Linked DNA regions of Tamandua tetradactyla. The protein of the gene in region 2 interacts with the protein of the main gene of each other region in a pairwise test. Links are inferred from orthologs where the notes say so. Each region holds a gene or a part of one and is shown on either strand. Other genes may lie near its edges.

Region 1 (7,569 bases), on a different chromosome or scaffold from region 2:
CAGACACCCAAGAAAGAGAGGACAGTGTTCCTGCTTCACCTTTAATGGCTGCTTGTGCCATTCATTTAAAGGAATTCACTAAATTTACATAACTTACTAAACATTATGGGCTAGTATGAAAATAAACATTGGAAAATGATAGTTTTCATAATCCTATAAGGGTTCAGGTTGAATTTTAAGATGGTAATTGAAAATTCAGTTACATTTCTGCTATTTACTTTTGTTCTTGAGGACAGAGTATACACCAAACCTCTTCAGTCTTTATAATGTTGCTAGAGCCCCACCCCACAGTCAGCCTGATCTTAGAGGATTCTCTATACACTCCTAATTCCCAGCCACCAGGCCTACCAAGGTGTTGTGGCTATTAGGACAAATGCCTCCTCTTTTTAAGAAGGTCATTTGCATTTTTATAGATATTCAAGATGGGAGACAAGGGTTTCCCACTCTTCACTGGAAGACTGAAATTTGGGCATTGTAACTTGCAAGTAAAAGGCATTTTCGTAGAAGAAAACTTGATTGACAAAATGAGCTAGGATTTCGAGGAGAAAGAGCACACTGTTCAGAATAATTTCAGCTGTATTCAAGTGTGAAAATTACATGGGATGTGGAACAGTAGAAGCCTCATGAAATCCCCTTGTATCCTTCAAGGCAGTCAGAGGTGACAACGTGAAAATTAAGACTGAGGTTTAGGAAAGTTGAAGTTGAGGAACTTCAGGGTGGATGCCTGGAATAATCTCAGTCAAGTATGAGAAGGATCACTGGAAGAAGGCTGAGTGCAGAAGGGACTTGAGAAGAGCAGAAACAGGACAGGTTTGGTAAAAGTATTCCAGATCATGTGCTAGCAAATCACCCTACTTGATTATGGAAGGGATTTGGGGAGTCAGTGAGGACCCAGCCAAGACTAGACAGTCTGAACCTTTAGAAGAACTAAATGATTTTGTAACTTTTTCCAGCAATGCTTGGTAGTACAGGAGCAAGTTGAAAAGAAACCATTCAATGGAATGTAACAATTACAAAAAAAATGTTGAGTGACAACTTAATTTCAGGCAACATTATTCATGGTGGATTTTATTAACATTTTAATCATTTAAAATATGAAGTACACAGTATCAAAATACTCAACAAACCTGTGATCTTAGATAAAGACAAACAGAAAAGATGATGTAAGTAAAAAAATTAATCAACTATTTTCTGCTTGTTAGCCTAAGGGAAGAGAAAAATAAATACCCATTTTCTCTTTGTATTAGACACATTTTCCATTTACTTAGTGTTATTAAAACCCAAATCATTGCTATTCTGTCAGTACATTAAAATGTATCTTATTTATAAAAAACTGCATTTTATTTTTTCTATTCTCTAAACACAGAGAGAGAGAGAGAGAGAGAGAGAGAGAGAGAGAGAGAGAGAGAGAGAGAGAGAGAAAGACAGAAGAAACAAAAGCATGAGTTAATTTCCATGATGGCATGGCATGAGACAATACTTCCTGGCCCCTGCTGATCCCTTCCCAATTCTTGAAAAGGGCGGGAGAACATTCACATGTTCAACTGATTTATTCCTTGGTTCAACCTTGTACAGAATTGCTAAATTCAGATTCAACTACAAATTGTGGAGAGTTGTTTTCCTCAGACAAGGTACTGTATTAACACACTTTATCTTGGATTATATTTTTGTAGTCTTAAATTACAGTAAGATAGAAACAGTAGCAAATAATATCCCCTGGTTCAAAATTCAGGACAGTAGTTAAAATATGTAACTGATGTCTAACTTACACATACATTAATCTTTTTCTCTCAATAAAATGTTTCTTATTTACAAAAGCCTGTCAGTTTTTTACAGAGTGTGGTCCTTCCAACAGGACAGAAACTAACATAAGCATAGTCTTGTTACTAAAGAGATTAATATAAAAATGGCAAAATCACCAAAAGAAGGAACCTAAGAATATCTGTAGCTATATGCTGGAGCAATATATTGCTTAAAAAAGCCTAATAAAGTCATGAAGTCCCATTTTAATAGGTGGTATCTAATTATGAACATTATTTTTAAAAATGATATTGAAAAATTAGCACAGTAACTTTAAATGAAGGAAGTAAAGGACTTGGTATGAAGTCTCAAAATTTCTGATTCAATGCCTCGGGTCATTTAAGAAAAATCAAATTTAGAGATAAACTGAAAAAATCCACAAAACAAAATCCATATAACCATAATCTATTTTTTTTTCTTTTTGTAAAATAGTCAGAAGGCAGGAAGAATTGACTGTGTCATCTGTCTTTTCCCAACCTGTAACCTCTTAGGGGAAAAAACATGCACCTGCCAAGCTCATGATGCAGAATGCACACACAGCTGGGTGTTTAACAATCTTTCAGTGAGAAAATTAAAGGTTTGTGTTTGGGGAAACCAGAAAAGGTGTGCTCACCCTTTGGCACCAACACACAATTTCAGGAGCCACCCTGTTTCCTTATCAAAATGGTGTCCAAAGTAAATCCTCTTTTGAGTGTCCTTTAGATATTCTATAAGTTTGAAGACCCAAAATTTGGAAGCAAGATTCTCCCCCAGGGAAGGGGGCGTGGTCGGGAATAAGTGGAATTCAGGTAGATCACTGATATCAGAAGGAAGCATCAATTTAAGGGATGAGGTGCAAACTCACCTGGAGAAGCAGAAGCTGCACAAGAGTCAAAGGTCAAAGAGTATAACCTCAGGGTCTACCAAGGCCCAAGAGAAGTGAAATGCCCGCTTCTGGGCTCTCAGCCTCAAGGATACGTATAGCGGTTCCCAGTGCCTGCCTTTGACGTCCGGGACAAACCCTACCATGCACGGTAGAGGGTGACAGGGAGGCAAAGCATTACCTAGCCAGATTTCTGAGCCTTTGCCCGGAATTCCCCTCCACTACTTTACCTCACCCCTTCCCTTGCCTGAGACACCTTCACCTCACTCCACCTTCTCCAGGCCCTCTTGCTCTTAACAGCATCGGTCTCTATGGCAACCTGAAACCGCAGCTCCCATTGGCCTGTTCAATATGAGGGCCGGGCCAATGGGAGGGCCAGTCTTCTTCTCCCGACCAATAGGGCTGGCGGGGAGCCTGTCCGGAGACGGCAGCGTGCTGACGTTCCCGGGAGCCCGGGGCCGGCTGGGCAGGCGGGCTGGTGGCTGGGCGGGCGACGGCGGCGGCGGCCTCTGGGCAGTAGAGGGGGCTCCGGGGCTGAGTCCGTGTCGACGCCGGCCGCGGAGACGGCACCATGGGCACTGGGTAGAGGGGCAAGTTGGCCACCGCCGCCGCCGGGGGTGGTGGGAGAGCCTCTCCGGGGCAGGGGGCGGGTGGGGGAGGGAGGGGCGGGCACCCGCGCGGCCACTGCACTTTTGTAATTTTTTCGGGTGCCGCAGCGGCGACCACTCCGCGCTTATGTCTCTGACCCCCGGAGCGACGACGGCCGCTGCTTAACCTGGAAAGTAAGTGTGCGGGCTCGCGGGCGGGCGCGGAGACTCCTGCCCTCGAGAGTCCGGGTCCTCGCCCCCTCAAGCCGGAGCCGGGACCTGCCTCCCAGGGCGCGGAGGGGGACGGCGCTTCCCTCCCGTTACTCCATCCCCACCGCCTCCCGGCCGCCTCGGCTTTCCTGCCCCGCCTCGTGTTCCTGCCCGCACTCGCCTGCCTACTCCCCTCCCCCCGGCGAGCGCACAAGTTTCACCCTCCATTTGCTTTTCTCCGCGATTACTCTCCCCGGCTCTCCCTGCATACCGCGCACGACCCTTCCCCACGTTGGCCTTTTAGGTTCCAGAGTCCCTACCTCCGAACTTGGTCGCGGTGCCGGCTCTCTCCCGGACCTGTAATTCGGCAGCTTCCCCGCTCCCGCCCTCCTGGCTCGCCACCCCGCGCCCCCGGCACCCCGGGGCGCCTTCCTTCCTCAGCTCAGGGGCCGTCTCTTGATCCCTCTTATCCTGTATACCGCAACCTGGCCCCCTCCACATCCTCCCACGCCCCTGCTGCCTGCACGGCCTCGGGTTTGCCCCTTGTCCGGCACTCCTATCCACCACCCCACCACCCCCTCTGTCCACTAAGCCCCACTCTCCTGCCGCGCGTCCTCACGCTCCACCCCTCCTGGTTCCTCAGCCCTGAGTCTCCCCGGCTGCTCTTCTGCGCCGCCGCTTCCCCCTCTCCTTGCCAAGAGTTAGAGCAGAGCTGCGGCACCCCTCTGGTGGATCGGGTGTCCCTACCCACCGCTCTGGCGGCCCGCCCTCTGCCTTTCCCCCCTACTCGGGGAGCCAGGGGGCGGGCAGCGGGGCCGGGATTTGGCTGCGTGTTGGCGGAGTGCGACAAACAGCGAGCGCGGGCGCTGGAGGCGCCGCGGCAGCCGCGGGGCGCAGCAGTAGGCAGGTGTGTGTGTCCGGGGGGGGTGGGGTAGGGGAATGAGGCCGCGGACTCCTCGGCTGGCGACACATTGTGCAGGAATGCAAGGAATGCACCAGGGGCAGAGTCCTCTCGGCCTGCCGCGGCTTCTCTAGTGCCTTCCCGGCCCAGCTCTAGTCACGCTGCCAGAGGTCACCGGAGCATCTTCGGAGCTGGTGAGGCTCGCTCAGTTCCTCTCCTCCTTTTGCCTCGTTCCATGCGGCAGAGAGGGCGGCGCGGGGGAAGCGCGGCAGATCTGCTGGGCACCACTGGCCTTTCGACTGGGTCTTTGCTGCATTGGTCTCCAGGTCCGTGGATTTGCGTCTGATGGTGATGTAGCCAAGGTTATTGATCATTGCACAAGGCTTTTTTCTAAGTTTGGTTTACAAGGTTTCGATAGTGCCTCGTTTTTAGGAGGTTTTTCTGAAAACCTGCAGGAACGAGGGGCCGAAGGTTCCTGGAGTGATGAGGTTGCATGTAGCCAACATGTTTCAGCTCTATCAAAGAATATCAGTTAGTGCTCGTGAACGGGGGTGTACTGCAACAGAGATCTTGTATGCATCACTTTGCTGTCATAGGAATTGTAATTTTCTTTTTTACTTGTCATACTGGACTGTGGTTAGACCTCATATAATACATAATGAATAGAAACAGAGAAGCAGTGTTTGGTCAGCGATGGGACAGATAGAACTGTCTGGTACAGTTAAATTCAGGGCGTGTCAATTACCATTAGAAGTAACTCAGGGACACCACAACCACGTCCATTTCAAGATGTAATTTATTAGTGGGGTTGCAGCTCTTTCTCTTTTTGATACTGAGTTTGGCTGCAAAAATAAATGCAGCCCTACAACTTTAAAGGAATGGTAATTCACTTATGTGTAAAATCGATTATGATTAATATCTATTTTTGGTCAAATTTTATTTTCCTTAATAAAGAAAAGCAGAGTTTTGGCAGATGATGTTTCTTAAGAATTGGACTTATATTCTTGCATTTTAAAAAGAAAAGTAGAAGTGTTTCTCTTTTTTAGTGTAGTTATGTTGTTAAAGAAATATCTTCATTTTTGGTGCCTGACAAATAGTTGTGGATAATGACAACAGGACAATGAGAACATATGGCCACAATAAATATTATAAGATGTTGGAGAAGCATACTTTGTGTGCTTTTATCTGACACAGTTTGCTTTGAAAATTAAGTATACTCTAAGACCTTCTGCACATGGTTATTTTGTATCAGATTCAGGAAAATAAGTCGGTTGTCCATCAAGTCAGCTGTTTTCCGACATCTACTTTGTGTGAATCACAGGCATTGAAGAGATGAGAGTCTTTTAGTAAAAGATCCAAGAGAAAGAAAAATAGAGGAAAAAATTTTTCTGCTAGAGGAAAAATTGTGTATTTTGATTGCTGCATTGTTGTCTAGGTATATCCTTCATCAGTGGACTTTTCTAATTTAGAAGCTTAATTTGTGTCCAATAACACTGTGGAGATATTGGGAGATTTTGTAAATGCCAATAGGAAACTTTTATTATGCAACAGTATCATATTACAGTAGAGTCTAACACATGCTTATTTAACTGGATGTGAAGATTAGAAAGTAAAAGCAAATTTAGTTTCTCTGCTGCATTAAAAATTGAAATAACCATTTATTTATATGGATATTGTATATACATGATTGGTTGCACACATAGTTTTACCTGCTTCAGAAACCTTTTGGTTAGAAATATAGCACACAAAAGTTGCAGGCCTATTTTTATAGGTTAGGGTCATTTTATTTTGTTTGTTACAGATATTTGAAGAGAGGAAGTTTTTAATCTGATTATCCTTCACAATTGAAAATAGTATAAACTATATTTTGACCAAAGTACATTCCATCCCCACTCTGCCCCGACTTTATAAAAGGAGAGTGTGCTGCATTTGGTGTCATAAATGTTATACTAATGATTATAAAGTGGGGAAACCTATATCCAGTTATCTTAATTTTTACCTATACTGTTTTTAGATTGAAATAAGGAAGAAGAGGTTGTGATGGAAAGCATAAGAGAGGGGAAGAAGAAACTAACAGCAGCTTATATACCATCAGTAAAGCAAATCATGTACATTATTGCTGCATTTATATGCTGAATAAACAAAACTAAATTCTGTGAATGGCTCTAGCATAATTTAAATTTAAAGAAACTACTAAACTTAGTTTACTAAAACTTTAGCAATTGTATGGCCTTAAGTATTTGGATTAAGTCTTATATTAAATCAGAATTGTAATTTTCTTTTCTGAGCTATATAAATTGAAAAAGTAGTTTAATTTAAAATTTTGAAAACTCACTTAAATTGATTTTTAAAATCAAATTATTGCTAATTTTTAAACTGAGTAATTTCCATATTGTTGACCAGAGATCGACTTAAATAGGGAGTGTTCCTACCCTGGATGATGCCAACCATCAGGTAAGTCCAGTCCCTTACCTGAATGTTAGAAATATTAAGAAACTCTATAATATAATGGTTTTTTTTTTTTCCTATTTTGGTCAAGCTGTAAGACCCTACCTTGTTTAATTCTGAAATGAATACTTTATTTTCAGTCTTAATTGGAAGAGAAAGTGAGATTATTGTGGGGTTATTTCAGAGCACAAATATCCATGGAATTTTTTGCCACTTTAGGAAGTTGCCTTCACGCCTTCAGGTACATTGGGAGATAATTATACCTTCACTGTGTTAAACAGTTTTGTAGTACCCTTCCTGCAAGGACGTAAAACGTAACACCAGTGGACTAGAAATATTTGGAGTATTAAATAATGGTCTCGAGGCCAAACTGTGGCTACACATAGCTGCAAATAGAGAAAAGGAAGTAAAACTTTAAGGATACTTGCATCTAGGGCTTGGAATGCTGTCAGTAAGTGATGATAGCAGTTGGCAGATCTTTTAGATGCCAGTGGTTAGAAATGACAGTGTTCTTTCAGGGTGAGAATATCAGGCCCCAAGTCACAGAGAGAACAGCTATCCAGGTGCTTGCTGGTCTCAGGTAAAAGGTTACACAACTTTCAGATTTTTCTCAATTCGTTAATTTAATAGTTGAGCGAAAGTATCGAAATCTTTTGGGGCTATGTTAGCATTATTAATTTGGGGATGTTACATATTATTTAGGAGATGCTTTTCAATTGAGTTATCTGTAGACATTCAGTTTGTCATTGGCCTAAATTGTT
Region 2 (7,823 bases):
ATTAGAAAATAAGAAAGCATCTATATAACGATTCAGTAACCACAGTCATTTGTTAACTCTTAAATCTTGGTTATAGGTATATATTACCTGAGAGAAATGTATACCTGTAACATGTTCTCACAAAAGCATATACACAAATGTGCATAGACGACTTAGTCACAATAGCCAAAAGTTGTAAACAATCCATGTGTCCATCTGGTTTATACATACAAAAGATAATTATTTAGCCATAAAAAGTAAGGAGTATGTGCTACATGGATGGACCTCGAAAACATTATGCTAAGTGAAAAGCTGAAACTTACGCTAAGTGAAATAAATCAGTTATAAAAGGACACATACTGTATGATTCTATTTATATGAAATGTCATGAATAGGCAAATCCATAGGGAAAGAAAAAGGGTTGGCAGTTATCTAGGGCTGGAGAAAGGGGGGATTTGGGACAACATCCAAAGGATACAGGGTTTCTTGGGTGGGGGGTTGATGAAAACATTCGAAAATTATGGTGATGGCTGCATAATTCTGTGAATACACTAAAACCCACTAAATTGTCTACTTTCAATGGGGATATTACATGGTCCATCAATTATATCACAATAAAGCTGTTAGAAAAAAATTCTTCAGGCCACATGTATTTGTGCAGCAATTAATGTAAATGGGCTAAATGACTAAACACACTCTATTTTCCAAATGGTTCTTGCATCTACCGCTGGGATTGGCAAACTTGTTTCTGTAAACAGCCAGACAGTAAATATTTCAGGCGTTTCAGGCTATCCCATCTGCTGCAACTACTCAACTCCACTGTGGTGGTGAAAGCGGCTACAGACCATCTAAACAAATGAGGGTGGTTATGTTTCAATAAAACTTCATTGAAAAAAAACAGGCTGCAGGGCTGAACCCCTTATCTCCAGGATGTCCCTCAATCCACACAACCACTCTACGAGAAAGGCAGGAACAGGTCTTGCCTCTGAGGCCCAAGACACAGCTAAATGACTTGTTCAGGTGACAGCCAGGCCGTAAGTGGTGAAAAACAGCCTGGACTGCACCGCGTCTGCACTCAGCACTCCTGAACGCCTCCCACCCAAGCAGTCAAGGGTATTTGCCAGGCCACAAGCATCCTCAAGTAGGTCTCCTCTCCAACATCTCAATGGCTCTTGCCAAAATGCCCCCTCTCCTTTGGAAAACCTCCAGCGACAAGCCCAGTCCTCAGGGGCCAAGCTCAATCTCCTTGCCAGTCGAAGCCTTCATCGAGAAGCAGAGACTCTCCCATCCGGTAAGGTCTTTGCAGAGCATGCAGCGGCCTGATACTAGGCACCCCTCTCCCACACTACCTCATTCATTCATTCAATTTTTTTTCCACATATGACCACCTCCCATGCGCCAGGTACTGCCAAAAGCCTCCACGACTGTGTCTGCAGCGGAAAGGAAAAGGAGAGAGCAGATCAGTTGCCACCGTGATGGAACGTGAGCAGTTACTAACCAACACGAACTCCCGGCTTTTGTCAACTTGAGAAACTCCGGCTTGTGTCCCCTTTGCTCATGCTGTGCCTCTCTGGGATGCCCTTCCTCCTTCCTGTTTACTGCTTCTCATGGGCCACTCCAGGCCCATGAGATACATGGATGAAGCCTCCACTCCCTGCTACATCCAATCCCCTCCCCCATTTGGATAAAATTCTTTTACCTAGGAGCCAAAAGGGTCCAGAGAAAACTAAGTCCTTTAACTTAAAGAGGAAGATGAGCCCCAAAGAGAGCAGTCACATGCCCAAGATCACACAGCACTCCAGCATTAGAACCAGACTTACATTCCTGCCACAGTGCCTCAAACTGCCTGGGGTGGTTTGGATTTCTGAGAGCAGGTTGTGACAGCAAGGTCCCTCACACCAGGCTCACTGTCACCTCTGGACGTGTTCTAGCTACCTAACACTCTTCCTCCTCCTCTTCACCCAACTCCTACTCATCCATCAAGGCCCAACTTTAATGCCCTATTACTCACGACTCTTTCTAGATCCTGAGCACCCCCAACATGGGAATCAGGGCGTCTCTGTGTTGTCGCAGCTTCTTTGTATTATAACTTCCTATTTAATCAGAACAGTATAATCTTCTGCACTTGACAATGAACATTCTCAAGGTGGACCACACCTGTCTTGAAACCACTGCACACCCTACCTCCGGCATAAAGCAACTAAGGGAAGGGAAGGAGAGTGTCACTACTCTTTATTCACTAAAATGAGATCCTCCCACCCAAAAACCTCTCCCCAGCAGGAGGGAAAGGGCCAAACCGTTCTTCAAGGCCTCACTCATCAAGGGCGGAGGGGGAAAGTGTCGGTATGTGTGTGTGTGTGGGGGGGGGGGGCCAGGCAGGCCAACCTTTGCCCTCCACGACCTCTCTAAGTCTGCAGCGTGACCCTGGTGAAGTCCCGATTCAGAACCCGAATCTCTCCGTCCGAAACCTGGGATCACACCAGCTTGCGCTGCTAAGGAGACGAAAGCCGTGAGCTTTGAGAAAAAACGCCCGGGCCGAGCGGCAATGACCGTCTAGGGCTGACACACCCGGGCGCCCTCCGGCCCGCTCTGCCCTAGTCTGGGCTTCGCTTTCCGGGTCTGCACAGGACCCTACCTGGGTACCCACCCTGCATGGCTGAACTCCTCAGCCCACCTTAGCCCGGCTCGGGCCCTGGCCAAAACGGAACGGACCCTGGCCTCACCTGTCGGGGGCGCGTAGGCCCGGGCCGGAGGCAAATGGTTTGGCCCCGACCCCAGGGAGGCCGCGAGGCCACGCGGGGGCCCGCTCAGGAGGCGGCGCCCCCAGCCCCGCAGCCGGAGGCAGCTCCGCCACATGGCTCCCGAGGGCCTGGGGCGACGCGCGGCGCGAAGCCGGAGAGCAGGAAACACCGAGCGAAGGAATCCCCGAATCGCGCCGTCGGGCCGTACGAGAACTCCCCTCGCAGCCTCCACGGATTCCTCAGCGTCCCCGGGACGCCGTCACCTTCCGCGTGACGCCAACGGCGCGCCGACGCTCCCGCGCGCCTCCGGCGCACGCCCCCCGTCAATCAGCATCACAAACGCGCCTGGCCCCGCCCCACCACGCCGCGCCTCGGCAGGAAGACTACAAGTCCCAGAGGGCCGCTCGCGCACCCTGCCACGTGTTTCCTCCGCCCGCCAATGGGCGGGAGCGCCGGCTGAGCCTGTTCCTGCCCCCCGGCGCGCCCGCACCAATCGGAAGGACTGGTGTGAGTGAGTGAGAGTGTGTGTGTGTGTGTGTGTGTGTGTGTGTGTGTGTGTCTGTGTGTATGTGTGTGTGTGTGCGAGGGCAAGTGAGGAGGGGATCCAGCGCCGGACGGGGAGGCCCAGCTCGCAGATCCCGGGGTCCCGGGGCTGCCGGAGCGTTGGTCCGCAGGCAGTGGGCGGGTGACCCCTCCCCACCCGCCCCCGCCGCGCGCGTGCGCGCCCCGCCCCGCCCTCCCCGCCGCGCTCCTCGGCTCCCGCGCGGCGGCGGCCGTTCCTCTCCCCTCCCCCCAGCCCTGGCTCCCGGGGACCCCGCGATGCCGGTCCGCACCGAGTGCCCCCCGCCGGCCGGTGCCGCGGCCGCCTCGGCGGCCTCGCTTATCCCGCCGCCGCCCATCAACACGCAGCAGCCTGGCGTGGCCACCAGCCTGCTCTACAGCGGCTCCAAGTTCCGCGGCCACCAGAAGAGCAAGGGGAACTCGTACGACGTGGAGGTGGTGCTGCAGGTGAGCGCCGGGCCGGCTGGCCGGGCCCGAGGGCCTCCTCGCGGCGTTCACGGGCCGGAGCCGGGCCCCGGGGCCTCGAGCCCGCGGCCGCCGACCAGGCCGGGCCGCCGGGGCCTGCTGCACCCGCCGCAGCTCACCCGGGACCGGCCCCGCTGGCGCCTCAAACTCCGCGAGCCGCGGCCCGACCTGTCCCCGCGGGCCCGGGGCTTCCGCGACCGGCTCCCGGCACTCCCTGAGCCTTCCGCCGGACCTGGCTCCCCGGCACCCGACCCCCACGGGATCCGGAGCCCCCCCATGACTGCCCCACTCCGGCCTGGCCGCTCCTTCTTCTTGACTTGTCTCCTCTGGAGTAGCCCCTGCCCATCCCTCTCGGGGGTCCCCCCACAGGCTAGGCCCATGCCAGATTCTCCCAGACTTGAAACAGGCCCCCCTTCTCAGTCCCAGGGATCCCCCAAGATCAGGGCAGCCCCCCCTCGAAAAAGTGTGGTCAGCCCTCCTACCTGGGAGTCCCTTCATTCCGTTAGCTCCCAGGAGTCCCCACCCACAGCTGAGTCCCCAGACCGTGCCCCCCTCCCCTCAAGACCAGCCCCTCGCACCCTGGGAGCCGCCCAGTGGGGCTCCTCACAGCCTGTTAGCATCTTGCCTCTTGCGTCCCCCGCGGTACCACCCACAGTTCCAGCCTCTGCATGCTCCCAGCACCCGGCTCCTCGCAGCTGCCCCCACCCCCAGGCCTCCTGTCCTAGGGTTCGCCCACTCCCTGCCCCCCCTGCTCTGGCTACTTCCAGTGTCCCAGGGCTCTCCCCCCAGACCTCCCCACCCCATACCTTCATCTTCCTCATTCCTTGCTCCAGGGAGCCCTCTTTTCTGTGTTCTTAACTTTTATCTGCACCGGCACAGGGCTTCCTCCTAGTCTCTGATACCCGCGGGCTGGGAAATCCAACTCACCCAGTTCTGTGTCTCACATGGATATTTCCTTTCTGTGTCCATCCACCTCCCCCTACCTGACCTGGATCTCGAGTACCTGCTGCCAGGCCGGACCAGGCTTTGGGGCTACAATGCCACCTGCCCTGGCCCGTCCAGCACCTCTCCCCTCCCACACAAGCGGTAGCACACATGACATTTTTCCCCAGCCCAAGGAGGTTGGTGGTGTGAATACCCCTTTTTATCTTTCCTCCCCACAAAACCATTTTTCCTCCATGCCTGCTCCTGCCTACCTTGAAACCCACTTTTCTCCCTCCCTCTGCCCCTTTTTCCTTAGCCAGACGCCCCACCTCCTAGGCTGTTCCCCCAAAGCCTCTCCAAACAGTGGTCCTCCCTGGAAATCCTACAGAGAGTTTCATAGTCCACGTGTGAAGCCTGACAGCTTCTGTGTGCAGGGAGAGAATAGAGGACGTGTCCCCTCCTTGCAGCCCTCCTCAGTCTTCTTTTATTTTAAATCCTAAACCGCTTCTCTTCTGAACAGACAGGTCTCCCAGCAAAGTCAGTGGGGGGACGTTTTTCTTCCTGCTAACTGTAGCTCTTTTATCACTTTCCATTTCACACTGTTCCATGGAAATAAGTAACTTTCTTCTCTTTTTTTTGGACCAGGAGGACTGCATCCTCATGTTAATTCTATCTTGGTCTGTAAACTCCAGGCTCTAACGTGAGCTGTGATCTCATTGTAATTGAGAAACTACTGGGCTGAGGTAGTTCAGTTCTTCAAAATGATATGTCTAATGCAGTGATTCCCCTTTGCTTTCGCTTGATATGTGAAATGTAGTGTGAAGGTGAGGGCTTTATCTTTTTGCAGCTAAACATGAAATCCTGGAAGTGAGATCCCTGTTTGGACCACATTTGGGATGAGCTTGAATTTGTGTGCTTTTTTAATTGGATGGTTTCCAGTGCTGTAGGGACAACCAGTGGGGTAGGTAGCTAAGTGTCAGAGGAGGGTCTGCCCGGCAGCCTGCAGGAACTGCTCTCGTCTGTCGTTAATGTATAATATTCCTGAACTCACGTCAAGTGCCAAGTTTCCCTTGAGCCAAGTTGAAGGTGTGACTGAGCTGCTGAGTTTGTAGAATCTGATGTTTGGAGAAACTTCTGCACTGCTGATAGGTCTCAGGACAGCCCAGAGGAAAAGCCTGGCCAAGTGCTAGAAGCCGCATGAGTGGGGTGGCTGATGGGGGCGGAGAGACAGTCATGCCAAGGAATGCCGCCCTCCATCCGGCTTCAGCGGCTGCTTGGTCACCCCAGGGACTCATCAGCGGCACGGGAATTGCTCCATCATCTGGTTTTTCAGCCAGGACTAGTTTCTTCGACTCAGCCTTCTTAGACTACTTCTGCCTTTTGTAAGGCAGCCACTTTCTTTCCCTTCCTTTCTTCCTTCTTTTCTTCCTTTTCACAGCTTTATTGAGATAGAATCCACATACCATACAATCCATCCATTTGAAGTGTACAATTCAGTGGTTTTAAGTATTTTCACCGAGTTGTGCAGCCATCACTGCAATCTAATTTTAGCACATTTTCATCATCCTGAAGGAAGCCTTATGCCCCTTAGCTTTCACCCCCCAACTCCAGCTACCACTAATCTACTTTTTGTATTTTAGATTCGCCTATTCAGGACATTTTTTAAAAGCAGAATTATACAATATGTGGTCTTTTATGACTGGCTTCTTTCACTTAGCATCAGTATTTGATTCCTTGGCCAAATGATAGCTGTTGTATGGCTGGACCTCAGTATTTGTCTCTTCATCAGAAATGGTCATTTGGGTTGCTCATTACAAACCATGCTGCTGTGAACATTCGTCTGGAAGCTTTTGGGTGGCCATGTGTTTCATTTCCCTTGGAATTGTTGGATCGAGTGGTAACTCTGCTTACCATCTTGAGGACTTACCAGGCCGTTTTCCCCAGTAGCTGCACTGTTTCCCATTCCCACCTGCAGTGCACGAGGGTTCCAGCTGCTCCACGTCGTCGCCACGACTTATTATCATCTCCCTTTTTGCTTAGAGCTGTCCTAAGGCATGTGAGGTGCAGGTCTCGTGGTGGTTTTGATCTGCATTTCCCTGATGCTCATGCCGAATGTCCTTTCAAGTGCTTGTTGGCGTACTTTCTCTTTTGAGATTCCAGTTGGAGTTCCTTAACCTTTGAGAGCTTCCAACTGGGGGTCTTTTTTTTTAATTGCTGTGACTCTTCCTGCTCTTCCAAAAAGCCGAGAGTAGATGTAGCCCCAGGTCACTGGGAAAGGAATATTAAAAAGAGCAGCTGTTGACCACAGCTGTGCAGCGAGACCTGCTTGCTCAACATTCACCTTGTTCTCTTTCCCGTTGAGATGCCATCCTGTCTTTGCATGTGGCATGTCTGACTTTACCGGCCATTGCCGAGGTCACTTTGGACAGAGAGGGAGAAATGCGTGGTTGAATCGAGGCCAAACTGAAATTCTGATTCTTGAGCATGTGATAATCCATGCAAAATGTTAGCCTCTTTACAGTTCAGTTTTTTGTCGTATTATCAAGCCTCCTTGTTACCTGATGCCCTTCCAGCTGCCGTGAAACCCCAAACTAGGTTGAGTTCAGTGAGGAGTGCGTACGTGAAATTGAGGGCCCCGGGTTGGAGCTGTGCGTCCTTGAATAGAGTTCTTGCCTGAACGTCCTTGGATAGAGTTCTTGGTGTAGATCAGCTGCTTCAGGTGACATCCAGTGCCCAGGTCAGCGTAGGAGGACGCTTACTGTTTGGCACATGGAACGCCTTCACCAGCACCAAACTGGGGGGGCACTTGAGCTCCATTGAAGCTGGTTTGCTTCAGTGCTAATGTCATCTGGCTAAATTCACCAGGGTTGGTAAAGGGGGGGGGGGGCGCCTAAGGATTTGATTTATGGTATAATTGAAAGTAGTTGGATCCCAAATCTGATAAATGCCATAAAACTTTGTTAGCTTTCTGGAAACAAGTTCTCAGCTCATGTAAAAATCTCTGCTACATACCTTTGGATTTTGGTTTGCTTGGTATTGTGATCTTTAGCTTTGTCGGTTAATCTAATTGCCATGAAATCTCAAAATCTACCTATTTGGGGTGAATTTGTGTAGTTGTAGGGTAAGATGTGCTAGTCAATATGCCCATTTGAA
Region 3 (7,845 bases), on a different chromosome or scaffold from region 2:
ACTGTTTGTTCTTCACGAGCACCGGGGTATATTTAAGCAAAGAAAGACATTCCAGCACTCTCCTGAGACTTCCTTCCTTCAGCTGAATTATACCAACATGTTCACGCTGCTGTGGTTCAGCTGTGTTGGAATTTAAAATGCAGACTTCTATTTGCCCATGCTTAAATGCCAAGGCTATAAACATTCATATTAGGCTTGAAACTGGCTTTTAGGTAGCATAGAACAAGTGGGAGTGTGTCCAAAAAAAACGTGGGTACGTTAAGTTGCAGTAGAATACTTGCAAAAAGGGACTGCCCTTGTTGGACAGACTCTATGCCTATACAATAAAGTCTCAAAGTCTCCAGAAGTCACCTGGCTTTGGATTAGGTTTCAAATCCGGGCTCACTGACATTCATGAAACTTTTGGCAAACACGGGCCAAGTTTCGGGCAAGGGCGGGCAGAATACTTCTTTCATAGGGAGGCTGTGTGAAACCCGGTGGCTTTCGTTAGGTTTCACCTTGAGTTTCACATTCAAACAATCCAAAGTTTCAAGGTAAAATTAAGGGATGAAAAGAAATGGGGGGGTGGGAGTGGACAGGAAAGAAATGGCCATCTACCATCTTCCAAACCGATTCCACCCTAGTGCCACCTGACTCTGCAACTGAATTTGCATTACCTTTCAGCAACACATGTGCCCCAAGCACTTGCCAGAGGAGGAATTCCCAGTACTACAGTAGGGTGGGGTTGGGGCGCGGGGGAACTCTTGGAGATTCCCAAAGGCTTGGGAACATTAAGAAACATGCTTAAAATAGCTGGAGGATATGAAATGATGACTGCACACAGAAATAGGATGATTCATATGCTCCTTTTAATGTGGATTTGAAGGGGAAAAAGTAGTAATTAAATGGCCAATGTTGGGAATAAACTATTAGCCTGAATAGCTCTAGGTTTTCTTACTCTTAATCGGAATCCTTACAGATGAAGTCGCATCTTCTCCTAATCTGGAGGAGCTCTCCAAGTGTTTTCCATTGCTCTGCCCTTTTGAAAATTGTCCTGCTGCCACTTGCTTCTTTCCTTCCTAGCAAGGCGGTCTCAGCCTTTAGGGAGCCACAGCCCTTGACTAGTGCTTAAAAAGTCTCCTGATGGGATTAAGTTCATTCTATTCCTAACCCTCAACTCAACATGCAGGGACAGTTGGCCAAGGAATATCAACCTTGGTATCTGACTGAGGGCTTTAGAAATACTCTGTGCTTGGGATAGGGAAGAAAAGGCAAAAAACTTAAATGCAGTATATACATGAATTTTCTTTGAAATGAAGAGGACATTTAAACATCGACAGAATGCCTAGATGGTATTACATTTTGCTATTTTAGGAAATACTTTTGTTTTTCCATCCCCTTACCCTCATACAACAGACGTTCCACCAGTTGTATGAGTTTTTCTCTTTAGTTGTCCTTTTTTTAAAATTTAATTTTCTTTTCTCTCTCTTTTCCTTTCTTTTTGTCACCCCAGAGATCGCTGTTTATTTTAAATGCATGTTTTCTTTTGACATGTGGTCTGTGAGACCAACAAATTTTTTCGGAGAGAAAGTCTTTGAATTCCAAGGGTTTCAGTGTTCATGTTAGAATATGCAACAGTTAGGCCTCAAGGCACACAGTAATTTGGGGGTAGCAGAACATTCAAATGAAGGGTTGATAAAATCTCATTCTGTGCACTGTCATTTGCTGCCTGCTTTTAGACATCTGTTTGGTGTGGAGCAGTGAGTTGTTTTAAAGTCTCTTTGGCAAGAGAATCATCTTGCCATAAAACAGTATTTTCCCTTTCATCTGGGGGCAACTATCAGTAAAACTTAAAGTTGTATCAGTAAGCAGTGAGGAAAACCAAAACCCCAACAAATAATTTAAAGGAAATACTATCAAAGCACTAACCTCCTCCCCACTAAATAAAAAGACTTTTTTACTGAACATAGTAAATACCCACAATCAAAGTAAATGCTGTGTTTGAAGTTAAAGTCCACAGATCAAAGTCCTTCGCAAAATGTCAAAGCACAAGTGTAATGAAGGGGAAAGAGGAGGCACAGAAAACGTTGGAAAATGTCATATTGTCACATTAGAGAAACCTGCCTGCGAACCTAACTGGCAAAAGAAATGCAGCTTAGATAAGGAATTCTTAAAACAGAGACACCTAAATTATGCTAGGCATATACCAAACAGAAAGTGCTCTAATTCCAAAATAGCAATTCACACAACAGTGACGATAAAAGAGAACAAAATATAATACAGCTATCTGGTCCTGAGAGAACAATCACTCCTATATTTCCTTTACTCAGGTGGTTGTATGTTTTTATTTTTTCAAATGCCTTTAGAACATTAAAAATCAGTAAGCAGCCTAAACAACAAAACGATGTCTGAAAAGCCCTCTTACTACCCTGGCACTCAGGTGTCATTAGAGTTTTGATCCTTTGCTGGGTCACAGTCACGTCTGCATGGCAGGTCAATATCATGAAAAACTTTAAGCAAAGTTTAGTTACAGCTACAAAAGTCCACAGATGCTGTTCCTATATTCAGGCATACAGTGTTCACCTGGAAATCGATGGCAGCCCCGGGCTTATTTTCAGCCTAAATAAGTTATTTAAAAACATGTGTCACAAATATACCATAAACCAATGAAAGAATTCCAGCATAAAACTCTTACCTACAAGCAGCTGGAGCTGAACAGTTGCTCTCAACAGAGGAAGTAGGAGTCACTGGCCTTTTACATGTAGAGATTGTTTATTTAGCCCTTTTTAAAAGGTCTTGAACTCCAAAGGTTTAAGATTAAGTCCGATCCAAGTGTCTGAAGGGAAAAAAAGGCAAGAGAGAAGGCAAATAAGAGGGGGAGAGAATCCCAGCTGCTGGGTGGTGCTACTGTTCCGAGAGCATTTAAGCTATTTTCAGCATTAACAGCAGCCGGACTTGTCTGTGAAGGGATGAAAATGCGGTGCCGGCCCAATAGCCTCTCCACCCACCCCAACCCCCTGGAGCGGGGAGGTACAAACCAGGAAACCCACAACAACTTGGTTCATTGTGCAAATATTCATTTAAATTTTGAGGAAAAGTGCCAGCACTATTGGGAAAAAAAGAAAAAAAAACTTTACCGGAATCTTAAAGAAACACAGCTCCTTGCCATAATGCCAAGTTTTGCAAAAATGATTTACCTGATTCATGGAAAAGAAGATGCTATAGTTATACCTTATTGAGAGTGAAGACCTTTCTTCTGATATGTATTTGCTTGTTTATATGGGTTTTAAAAACATTTTAAGTCTCTCTGGTTGGAATGGCCATTGTCAGCCTGTTCTTCTTAAGACTGAAGACAAATGGTTTATTTCTAGCACTCAGCTAAATCTCCAGTTTCATCAACTACGCTATTTTTGAAAGCTACTAGGTTAAGCTGTTGACATTTCTTATCGTGCTGGCAGAGGCTGGGGACCACTCTGTGACACGATGCTGACAGAACTGATCTCCAGTCTGCCTCCAAAGGCCAATGAAGAACTAATTTAGATTGGGTCACCAACTCTGGCCAGAAAACTCTGAGCTTTAATTTTGTTTTTAGAATGAAAAAATAAAGATCCAGAAGTTGAATGCATTCATTCATTCATCCAGCAAATATTTATGTGGTGGGCACGGCTGTCCTTATTATAAGCCAGGCATTTTGAAAATACAATAGTGAGCAAACAGCTTTTTTTTTTTTGCCTCTGGAGGTTTACAGCACACAAACACAACAAGAATAAAAAATGAAAAACAGGGTTTCCTTTTTTTTTGACAAACTTTCGCAACCTCATGTTCACAAGATGAGACTATTCAAACCCTTGTACAGGAAGATCCGATGTGTCATCAGAGCGATTCCTACCTTCCATGACTTCATTATGCCTTTGAGAACACCACTAAGAAGGAAAATTAGTTATTTCCTACCAAAGAATCACTTAATATTTTTGATAAAGGCATTTATTCCATGCAGATAAAAATCTCTGAATCATTTCAATTCCCTAATCCTCATAACAAGAGGATGATGTTTAAGGCAGTTCAAAGCATGGCTGAGGAAGTGAAACATTCTCTAATCTAAATCCAATATAAAAACTGCCTTGAAATATTTTATAATCATTATTATGGAGGCTAGTTACTGGATGCTCATATTGACTCTACTTTCTTCCTTGCAATTTCAGAAAGATACTGGAGTTGAATATAGAAAATATTGAGGATTACACATGACATGTAAAAGGGTTACATGACTATTTCAAGTACTGTAGTAAAATAGTGAAATCTTTCAACCCAATACACCTTATATTAAAACCATGCAGCTATTTAAATATATATATATATATAAAACGATAGCGTAACTTTGAAATACCCAATCAAATTTTAAAGTAAATCTGCTTTACCTAAAAAAAAATGCTTATTTTTTAAAAAGTCACTGTAGTATTATGCAATAGTCTGTTCATTTACCTTTCTTTCCTTTTTTTTTTTTTAACATGGGCAGGCACCGGAAATCGAACCCAGCTCTCCAGCATGGCAGGAGACAACTCTGCCTGCTGAGCCACCGTGGCCTGCCCTGTTCACTTGCTTTTAATAGTTGCATTTTAATTTCTTAAATACCTGCCAGTTTAAAATCTGATATTTATTTTACTTGACCACAATGTTAAATGGTAATACTGCTGGCAAAAATTGGAAAAGTCAAGCATCAGATAGAGAAAAAATTGTTTTTATTTTCACCTCCTTAGAATAATTTATAATAAGAAGGAAACACACTTTAAACTTGGCCTTCCTTAAGAAACTAGTTAACTAAACAAAGATTAACTATTTGATTACTAAGTCAACCATTATTTTTAAATTCTTAACTGCCAGCTTCTCACATCATTCCTAAAGGGAAGCCCATTTGCCTCACATTACCTTTTTAAATCATAGTCTGTCAAAGTCTGCACTTGCAAGGACAGGTTATAAGCCTGACATTTGTGTTCACTTAGGAGGAATCCTCTCCTGCCGGGTGACTCACTGAGGTCTCCTTTGTTCCCTTAGGATCCCAGACTGTCCAGGCAGCCTGTAAATAAGCCCCTTTCAACAGATGTCACTGAAGGGTGCAGGTTGGACTTTAGAAAATTAAAGGACACTAAATTTTGACTCTTGCTACTTTCCCAATTCCTGTAACTTCTTATCTTATAAGCTATTGATATCTTAATAATTGTAACTCATGGTAATGATTTTGTTAATATTCTTTTTATTAAAAACAAATAAATTGATTCAAATTAATTAGGAAATGCTGATATACATATTTTAAAATTTTCATTTATTTATTGATTTTTAACTTTTTCTCTCGTATAGTACAATATATATAGAAAGCAAAGAAACAAAAAAGCAACAGTTTTTTTTTTTCAAGGTCAGGAATTGGGAACATTTAATTAACAAAATACCTGCCATCTATTTTCAAAACCCATTCTGTTCTATCAGTCACAAAGCCAAATGGTGCAGAGGGCAGGAAATATATGTAAGATTTGCAATACTGTACCCTGCATTGTCATTGAGCTATATTATACAAAGATCTTCCAGTTTGATTGTGGGAAAACATGCAAAACAAATGAAGACAAAGCACATTTTATACCATTCATCTAGCTTATGTTAAATGACAAGCTGTTTGCACAAATGTCCATCAGATGAGAATATAGGCTGTTGTACTGAAGTAAAATGAGCAATACCTGAATGTTTTGTAGTCTAAACTCCACACATCTCTTCCATATCTGTTGACCAGGCAAACTGCACCAGTTGCTGCTTCAATTTATACCTCAATCTTTACTGTGTCCAGTTGGTATTTTGGCTTATTGGCTAAATTAACCTTCTCTGTCCGAGTGTGCCACACGAGAACCTTGGTGCAGTTATAAAGTAGCAGTTTTCAAAGCACTCCTCAACATGCAGCCACAGGACAGATCCAAGAGTCCACCATGGGCTACCACATGATCCTCCCAAAATGCTGATATTGGAGTGGGTTTCTAATATTACTGACAGATTGGAAATATGGCTTTGGCACAACCCCACCCCCATAGAAGATGGGGATAATAATAAGGTTGCAGTGGGGCTTAAACCATGCATGTAAAATGCCTAGCTGAGTAATGCCTGCCACATACAAGCACTGGATAAATTTGAATTTTTATCACTATTGTAAGTCTAGAACTCTGCTGGCCAATACGTGGCTATCTGTGTGTTGAGCATTTAACAATGTGCCTAGTCAGAACATAGAGGCACGTAAGTGTAATAATACGCACAATGAATTTTGAAGACAGTATGGAAAAGGAAACGTGAATAATCACATTAATTTTTTTTTTTTTTGCATGGGCAGGCTCCGGGAATCGAACCCAGGTCTCCGGCTTGGCAGGCAAGAATTTTGCCACTGAGCCACCATTGCACCGCCCCACATTAATTTTTAAAGATTAACTACCTGTTGAAATAATAATACTTTGGACATTCTGAGTTAAAATATTTTATGAGGAGTAATGTTAAAAAATTTAATACCACTCATTTCTTTTAAATGGCACTACTAGAAGATGTAAATACATGTGTATGGTTTGCGTTACATTTCTTTTGGGCAGCTATGTAAGCCAAAGACTCTGCAACCTTAGTGACATCGGAGTGACCTGGAGGTCTGTAGAAGCACAGGTTGCTGGGTCCCACCTCCTGGGTTTCTGATTCAGTAGGTCTGGAGACTTGAGTGGCTTGAAAATGTGCATTTCTAGCAAGTTCCCAGGAGATGCTTGAGCACACTTGGAGAACCATTAGTCTTAAGCCTTGTTGCTTAAGGCTTAAGTGTTTCACAGAGCAACATTAATGGCACCTGGGGTCCTGTTAGAAATGCAGAATCCTGAGGCCCCACCTGGACCTAATGAATCAGTAGCTGCATTTTAACAAGACTCCCAGGCTATGCGTCTGCACATGACAATTTTGGAGAAACGGAAACCAGCATCTTTCAACTCTGGTACGTAAGAGAATCATCTGGAGAACAAAAAAGACCAGTACGTTGGGCCTACCCATGGAGATTTTGATTTAATAGATCTGGAGGAGATCCAAGCATTTGCATATTTAAAAGTTTCCCCAGGTGATTCTAAGATAAAAGCAAGAGCTGACAGTTTGATGGCAGTGAGGCAGAACCGATACAGAAGAAACAGGGTCTGGAAACCAGACACACTCCTTCTAGTGAGGGTCAGACGCTTGGGGTTTGTCAGGTGCTGGGAGGGCAGGACAGGTGCCGGCGGTGGAGATGGTGGAAACCCGCAAGGGGCGATGAATGGGCATTGTAGCCAGCAGGACGTGCGTGGTAGCAGACACTAAAGGTCGTTTGAGGTCTGCCAGTAGGTCCCCAGCTGCTCCAGGTCTGGAGTTTCAGGGAAGGTTGGCTAAAGCAGAGCATAGTCTTGGCACCAGAGGATCCAGAACGTTAGGTAAATTATCTGAGCAGAGACACAGGTTCCAAGGAATCAGACAGAGTCTGGTCCAAGTTAACGGTGAGACCAGCCACCATGTTAACTTCGTCCTAAATTTCCTGAGTTTCTTAAGCTTTCCATAAGAACCATCTAGAGCAGGGATGATCCTTCAGACAGAGATGAAGAAGGAAAAGATGGATGGAAATGTTGAAAGCCAGTTTAGTTGTACACTTCTCTTCTTCAGTTGTACACAACAACAACTGAAACTGTTTTGAGCTAAGCATTGGTCTAATTAAAATATGGTTAAAAAAGACCTTAACCCTCTGGTATTTTCATCACACGAGAAGATCTTCTTGATCCAAATAACAAGGTGGTTGGCTCATGGACGTCCTGTATTGTCAAGGCAAGAGACCTTCTGTTATTT
Region 4 (7,171 bases), about 140 Mb from region 2:
GGCGTCTAGGCATTTAATTCCCTTAATTAGTTTATTCTGGAGATTGCTTTCACTTCTTTTACCTAGGGTTTTCTTGCTGGATGAATTTGTTGTCTGTCTGTTCTTTGACATTCAGTTCAGCTTTTTCTGGACCTCTAGCTTAGGTTTTTAACAGAGGAGATATTTTCAGTTCTTGCTTTCTTGTTTCTTGCCCTGCTTGTATGGTGCCTTCCCCCACCCCCCTCTTAGGAGGGTCTATGTAGGTATTACAGACCCCAGCTGGATTTTCCCAGACCAAACTGGCCTCCTATCAGGAGAAAAGAGTCACCTGCATCCGTTTTCCCTGAGGGTGAGCCCCAGCAGGTTGAAAGGCTTTCCTGTGAAGTCTCTGGACTCTGTTTTTCTTATCCTGCCAGTATGTGGCACTTGTCTGCCTGCAGGTCCCACCAGCATAAGATGATGCGGTACCTTTAACTTTGGCAGACTTTCCGTGCTGGGGGTGTGGTGGAGACAGAAGACAGGTTGTAGGCTGCTTTTAATGGCTTCAAATTACCAAGCCCTGGTGTCTGAATTCCTTGAGGGAGGGATTCCACCTGAGTTGGGCTTCACCCCTCCCCTGGGGAAGGCACGGGCTCCAGATGAGCCCTCAAACGAGCTTGTTTCTGCCTATGCCTGGGACAGTTGCAGCCTGAGAATCCCTTTGGAGAAACACAGCCAGATAAAGCTCTGTTTCTTTTTTTTTTTTTTTCCTGTCAGCCCTGCCCCCTTGGCGCCCAGGCAAAAATGAGTGTCCTCTGCTTTGACCAGGTTCACCTGAGCTGAGGGCCTTTTTTTAGTAGTCAGAATTTGTTAATTCCATAATTGGCATTTGGTTGGGCTCAGTCCCTGCTGCTGGTAAAGTCTCTTTCCTTTTCCCCTCTGGGAAGCTGCCTGTTGGGGAGTGGCACCAGCCGCCGCGGCTTGGGGAACTCATGGTTCTGGGGGGGCTCGCAGCCAGTCCAGCTGGTCCAGACTGGGGTACGCTGTGTGTCCAGTCACTGACGTGGCCCTAGGAGCTCTTCTGTACTGTTCCTGGTTATTTAGTAGTTTTCTGGAGGATGAACTAAAATGCGCACATTGCTAAGCCACCATCTTGGCCTGTAAGTCTATTTTATGTTTCTTCTTGGCTGTCACTAGTCTGAATGTTATATTCTCCTATCCCCTTTAGCTTCAGCTTCTTTGTGGTCTCAGATTCTACCTTTGGAGTCAGACTGCCTGGTTTTGACTCTCTGCTGCACCTTTATGAACTCTGTGACTATGGGCAAGTGACAGAATCTCTACGTTGCTACTTCTGCAGCAGTAAAATGGGAAGAAGAATAATACCTCTCACATATACTGTTGAAAGAATTAAGTAAATATGTGACACGTTTGGTTTATAGTATTTGATAAATGGGTGTCATTGTACCTGATGCCAGCATTTTTTCTCTTATACCATCACTGAGACTTTGCCAGTAAATTTATATGATCATGTCACAAATATTTTGTCTCCCATAATATATACAGGATATCCTGTGGCAGGTTCGTGACAATTACTGTTTAAGGGACTATGCCAACCAGTCAACTGAACTGACCAATGAACACTGGAAAAAACCAACCAATTTCTGGACTAAAAGGACCTATACCCCTATACAGTACAGTGAATGTGATAAAGACCCACATCACCCCAGACCCAGCAAGACCTGTTCCAGCATTCCAGGTTGCAGCTGGCTTTGGTCTGGGGCTACCAGCGAGGACTCTTCCTCTTCATTCTCCCCTGGGGGGACTTTGCCCCTGCTGCCACTGGATCAAGGCTCATCCAAACTCCCAGGTGGGGACAGTGGTCACAAAGCAGCTGCAGTTGTCCCCAGCTCTCTCACCTGCCTGTGGGAGTCATCCCTGACCACTGTGAGTCCAGAAGGAGCATCTAGTTTCAAAGTGTGGTCTCTGCACCAGTAGTGGCAGCATCCCCAGCAGTATCCCCAGGGGCTTATTAGATATGGAAATTATAAGCAGCATTGAGACCTACTGAATCTGGAAATTGCTGGGGAGCTCAGTAATCTGTGTTTGAACAAGTCCTCTAGGGGATTCTAATGTTTGCTAGTCCCGGACATGAAAAAACCTGGGTGCTAGTCTGTCTCTTCTACTGGGCAGAAAGGAGCCCAATTGATTTTCACACCACTACTTATTCAACATATATCTGTTTGTTGCTTGCTAATGGACTGGTACTGTAAGAGGCACATAGGTACAGCAGGGGACAAAATCAAGGCCCTGAGCTCATGGAGCTTACTTTCTGAGAGGAGTAGAAAGGTAACAGACCCATAACTGTGTATTAAGGAGTGGAAAGTGATAAAGAAAGTTAAAACAGGGTAAAAGATAGAGCATGAAACAAGAGAAGGGGTGGTAGGATAAAGCCCTGTAGGTATCTGGATAAAATGAGAGAGGCAAGTTTGGAGCAAATCTGAAAGAGGAAACTCCCAGAACGCCTTAAGGAAAATCTAGGACTTTAGATTTTCTGGCCTTCTAGGCTGCAGAGCTATGAGGGCTGACGTATTTTCTGGTCACCCTTACTCCTGTGACCCAGCACAAAGGAGGGTATGGTGTGGTCTCCAAGGATGCCCACTTTGGCAGGCCTCCGATTCCAACTCTTGTATGCCTAGACCCTGGGTAAAAGCTTTTTAAGCACATTTTTCCTTTTACTTGACACTGTCAAATTGCTCTTTCTAATAACTGTACCTATTTACATTCCTACAACCTGGGTACGAGTTCTCATTGCTTCACATCTTCATCAACCCTTGATATTTTGAGTTTTTAGTTTTGTCAAACTGAGGCAGGTTAGACAGGGAAGAAAGGAGGAAGTGACCCTAAATCCCTTAACAAAAAATTCCTTTTGGCGCACATACCCAGGCCCTCCCCCCACCCTCATCCCCTCCCCCCCACCCCCCATCCCCCAGTCAGGTCAGCAACTGAAAATAACCAATGAAAAGTGCAGCGCATCAATCCCTTATTAGCATAGCCAGAGGGTAAAGGGCCCCTGCAAGTCTTTGTAATGCAAGGATCCCGAACTCAGACTGCTTTTCCTTTGGAGAATTCCCACACTCATCTAGCTTCTACCTTCACTATACATTAAAGTTTTGAGGTGTACACACTGGCTAGTCTTTGGATTCTTTCATTGTACACAATGACCGGTCCTTGAGTTCTTTCCTACAGCTGAGTTTCCTGTGGCCAAGTCAAGAAACTTCATGGCGTCAGTTCCTGGTCCGGGTCTAGACTTCTCTGAGAAATGTCGCAACTCTCTGGCATCAAGCAGAGAATTCCTGGAGCTCTATGTCATCTAGCCTAGAACTCCTGGGGTTCTCTGGCGTTGAGCTATTAAGCTATTTGGCTGTACACACTGACAAGTCCTTAAATTCTTTCCTGTGATTGAGTCAAGAACCCTCATGGTGCCCGCCCTTGGTTGAAGTCTCCATTTTTCCAAGAACTCTGTGTGTGTGTGTGTGTGTGGGGGGGGGGTTCCCATTCAAAACAGTTGGATAAAATGTAAGGAATGACCATCTAACTGCTCTCACTCCCTTCGATATTGCCTCTCTAACTCCACATTTCTCACAGCTGACAGAATGTGCCATTACCTGCCACTTGAGGGGTGCTCAGTAAATTATCATGGAATGAAGTCACTTCCCTGCTTAAAATCCTTTAATACCTTCCCAAGTCTTGAGGAGGAACGCCATTTTTGATATTACAATAATCACTTACTCATCTTTATATCCCTAGAATCTAATACAGGATTTGGAAAGTATCTTGCAGGCGGCACTAAATCGACATTTTCTTAAAAAAAATTAATGAATAAACTACACGGGGTAGTTTACTCTGCGATGCACGCCTTTCATTAGTTTACTTCACACACGGAATTATAATGTATCAAACATATGTCCACATACACGTACATTGTGCAGTCTGTAGCCTCAGCATCCATATCAGTGCGTGGCACACAGCAGGAACCAAATACATACTTTCTAGAATCGATTCAGAACTAAATTCTACTCGGCAGCGGCTTAAGAGAAGCGCAAAGACACAGGCGCAGTGACGCGATGAAGCGACCCAATCTTCTCGCCCAACCAGACGCTGCCGCGGAGAGGCAGTGCGCAGGCGCAGCAGTCTCGTCACGATTGGCTGCGTCGAGGCGGGAGCCTTGAGTTCCTCAGGTGGGGAGGGGTTCGCTGCCTACCCGCGGCTGGAGTACGCTGGACTCCGGGTTGTGTTGATTTCTCGCGGGTGAGTCTCTGGATGGGAGGCTGCGACAGCCTGTGAGCTTCTTCGGGTTCTGTGCGTGGAGAGGTGCCGCTCAGCCCCCCCCCCCCCCAAAGCAGGCAGACAGGAGGCAGGATTCGGGCTAGGCTGTCTCTGCTGCCGGGTCTGGAGCGGCCGCGACCTGAAATGTGAAGGCCTTGCCCGCGGCCGACTGGGGGAATGGAAGAGCGGTTTGTGGTGGGGAGGCCGCCGAGAGAGGACGTTCCGGGTTGTGGTGCTCTGTCCACTGGTGCTTGCTTGCTCTGGGGTGCAGGCGCGCAGGGCGTGTGGGTTTTTTCTCCCAGGAATAACCTGTGCCCTCCTGTACTGTGAAACTAGTTCCTCAGGGCCTGGACGTGAAGGCTCTGAGTGCCCTGGATGGTAATAAGTCATGCAAACGATGCATAAGATTTAGCAGCTTCTCTAGGGGCTTCTACCGCTTCACTGGTCAGCGCTTTTTAATGATTAAAAAAAAAATTGTTTATTTTATGGAGGATTTTGTAAGCTACACCAGGACTGCACAAAGGACCAACTTAGCCTTCAAGTAAAATAACTACTATCTAACGTAGTTGCAAGGTGAAAAACAGAAACAAGACATCTGTTGCTGGTTCTTAATGGTGTTTTATTTGCATTCTTTCATCTTACAGGAGAGATTGTTGCACCCTTCCCCTTCAGAGCCTAAACAAAGCTCTAGTTTCTGGTTATGATCCTCTTTGTTGAAGTACATCCTTTACTATACCCCCTTCACAGACCTCCACCACCTCTACTAATAGGACCTTAGTATTAAACACCTAATAATAATAATAATAGATAGTGATATTACAGATATCAATGAGTGTGTGTCAGGCTCTTTTCTAAGTGTTTTACATAGGTCGTTTGATCCAACAATCCTATGAGTAAGTATGATTATTGTACTGCCTTTTGAAGACGAGGAAACAGGCACAAAGAGGTTAATGAAATCGTTCAAGATATTGCTAGGAAGCATTAGTCCAAATTTATATTTAGGTAATAGCCTCCAAAGTGTTGCTTTTAATTACTCCACTTTAATGTCAAGAACTTCATACTTTCTGATGTGTTGTAACTATTAGCGTGCTGCCATATTCCTTGGAAGCACAGAAGCTGGTAGATGTTGGTCTATTGCTGTCAAAGTAGGGCTGCCACATGCCCTTTATTTCCAGAGCCTGGGAAAAGAGCCCAAATAGCAAGAAGGGTGCTGAAGTATTTAAGGGGAAATGTACATATGTCTACAGTTTACTTTGAAATGTGTTGGCAAATAGATTGATGGATGCCAAAGATCATATAGCTAGTAAGTGACAAAGCTAGAATTCAAGCCCAGGCATGCTGGCTCCAGAGTCTGTTTTCTTAATGACCGCTCGCATTTGTCTACATTCTCAAATACATTATTTATTATTATTGTTTAAATTTTTTTTATTGTATAATATACAAAGCAAAAAAAGAAAAATCAATAGTTTTCAAAGCACTCTTTCAACAAGTAGTTACAGGACAGATCCTAGAGTTTGTCATCGGCTACCATATGATCTGCTCAGATTTTCCCTTCTAGCTGCTCCAGAATCTAGGAGGCTAGAAGACATAAATATTTTTTTATCATCACAATTGACTTTTTTTTTCTTTTTTGTGAAAAATAACATATATATAAAAATGCAATAAATTTCGAAGCACAGTGCAGTTGGTTGTAGGACATATTTCAGAGTTTGGTATAGGTTACGATTCCACAATTTTAGGTTTTTACTTTTAGCTGCTGCAAGATACTGGAGACTAAAAGAGATATCAGTTTAATGATTCAACAATCATGTTCATTTGTTAAATCCTATCTTTTCTATCTAACTCCACCATCACCTTTGATCTTTCTTGTTTGAGCTATGGCCATTCTAAATTTTTCATGTTGTAAGGGTCTGTCACTAATATGGAGATGGAATTATCTATGTTCTGGAGAGGCTGGGCCCTCTAGGTTTCAGGACGTATCTAGTCCAGGGACCCATCTGGAGGTCATAGGTTTCTGGAAAGTTATACTAGTGCATGGAACCCTTGTGGAATCTACATATTGCCCTAGGTGTTCTGTAGGATTGACTGGAATGGTCCTGGTTGGGGTGGCAAGTTATAATAGGTAGCAATGTCTAACTGAAGCTTGTGTAAGAGCAACCTCCAGAGTAGCCTCTTGACTCTATCAAATACATTATTTTAAAACTAGTTTGTGCTCTCAAATTAATTATTTTTAAATAGACACTCAAATGCCTACATTCTCGTATGCCTACATCCTCAAATATATTATTTTTAAAACTAGTTTATAGGATACATTTATCTTGTAGAATGTGTACAGGGTAGAAAAAATAGAAATCATGTATTGGGTGTAGAAGGGTTTAGGATGCTGATTTGATGTTGAAAGAAATCTTAGCCACCTACTCGTTCTCTTTACCAGTGAGGGAATTGGGGTCCTGAGACTAAATAGCTTGCCCAAAGTTAAGCACCCTTTAAGTAGCAGAATCAGAATTAGACTTAGGTTTCCTTTATTTCTACAGTGGACTTTTCTAGCTACTCTTATTTGTCTAGAATTTTAGTATCCTAGCTACCAAAACAAATAGCATATAATGGGGTGGCTTAACAACAGCAATTTTTTGGATCATGGTTTCTGAGTCTTAGAAGGCTTGATTCCTCCTGGGGTTAATATCTTCTGGCCTCTTAGCAGTCTTGTGGTTCCTTGGCTTTTTTATCATATGACAATGATCATAGAGGCATTTTCTCCTCTCTCTTCCGAGTTTTGCTGATTCTAGCTTTGGGCTGCTCCCTATGAATTCTCTTTCTGTGGCCTTCCCCATAAGGCCACCAGTAATAGGATTAAGGCCCATTCTGATTTACTTATGTGTAGGTAATA

What was found.
Region 1: the proteins of ATPAF2 (region 2) and PKP4 interact in binary tests that used the Homo sapiens proteins (3 or more experiments, as listed by UniProt). The two-hybrid records come from large-scale screens. The link is inferred for Tamandua tetradactyla from reciprocal best matches to the Homo sapiens genes ATPAF2 and PKP4.
Region 3: the proteins of ATPAF2 (region 2) and SORBS2 interact in binary tests that used the Homo sapiens proteins (3 or more experiments, as listed by UniProt). The two-hybrid records come from large-scale screens. The link is inferred for Tamandua tetradactyla from reciprocal best matches to the Homo sapiens genes ATPAF2 and SORBS2.
Region 4: the proteins of ATPAF2 (region 2) and RAD54B interact in a two-hybrid assay, tested with the Homo sapiens proteins (2 studies listed by BioGRID). The two-hybrid records come from large-scale screens. The link is inferred for Tamandua tetradactyla from reciprocal best matches to the Homo sapiens genes ATPAF2 and RAD54B.

Annotation. Positions count from the first base shown.
Region 1 is NC_135329.1:128,877,225-128,884,793, forward strand, and holds the start of PKP4 (plakophilin-4), read left to right. Parts: upstream 1-4,566; 5' UTR 4,567-4,595; coding exon 4,596-4,686; intron 4,687-7,569. UniProt on the Homo sapiens protein: Plays a role as a regulator of Rho activity during cytokinesis. May play a role in junctional plaques.
Region 2 is NC_135332.1:1,682,867-1,690,689, forward strand, and holds the start of ATPAF2 (ATP synthase mitochondrial F1 complex assembly factor 2), read right to left. Parts: upstream 3,007-7,823; 5' UTR 2,836-3,006; coding exon 2,703-2,835; intron 1-2,702. Other genes in the region: GID4 (glucose-induced degradation protein 4 homolog), read left to right, coding at 3,540-3,728. UniProt on the Homo sapiens protein: Plays a role in the assembly of the F1 component of the mitochondrial ATP synthase (ATPase).
Region 3 is NC_135352.1:26,657,343-26,665,187, reverse strand, and holds the start of SORBS2 (sorbin and SH3 domain-containing protein 2), read right to left. Parts: upstream 3,011-7,845; 5' UTR 2,675-3,010; intron 1-2,674. UniProt on the Homo sapiens protein: Adapter protein that plays a role in the assembling of signaling complexes, being a link between ABL kinases and actin cytoskeleton. Can form complex with ABL1 and CBL, thus promoting ubiquitination and degradation of ABL1.
Region 4 is NC_135332.1:137,865,615-137,872,785, reverse strand, and holds the start of RAD54B (DNA repair and recombination protein RAD54B), read left to right. Parts: upstream 1-4,157; 5' UTR 4,158-4,266; intron 4,267-7,171. UniProt on the Homo sapiens protein: Involved in DNA repair and mitotic recombination. May play an active role in recombination processes in concert with other members of the RAD52 epistasis group.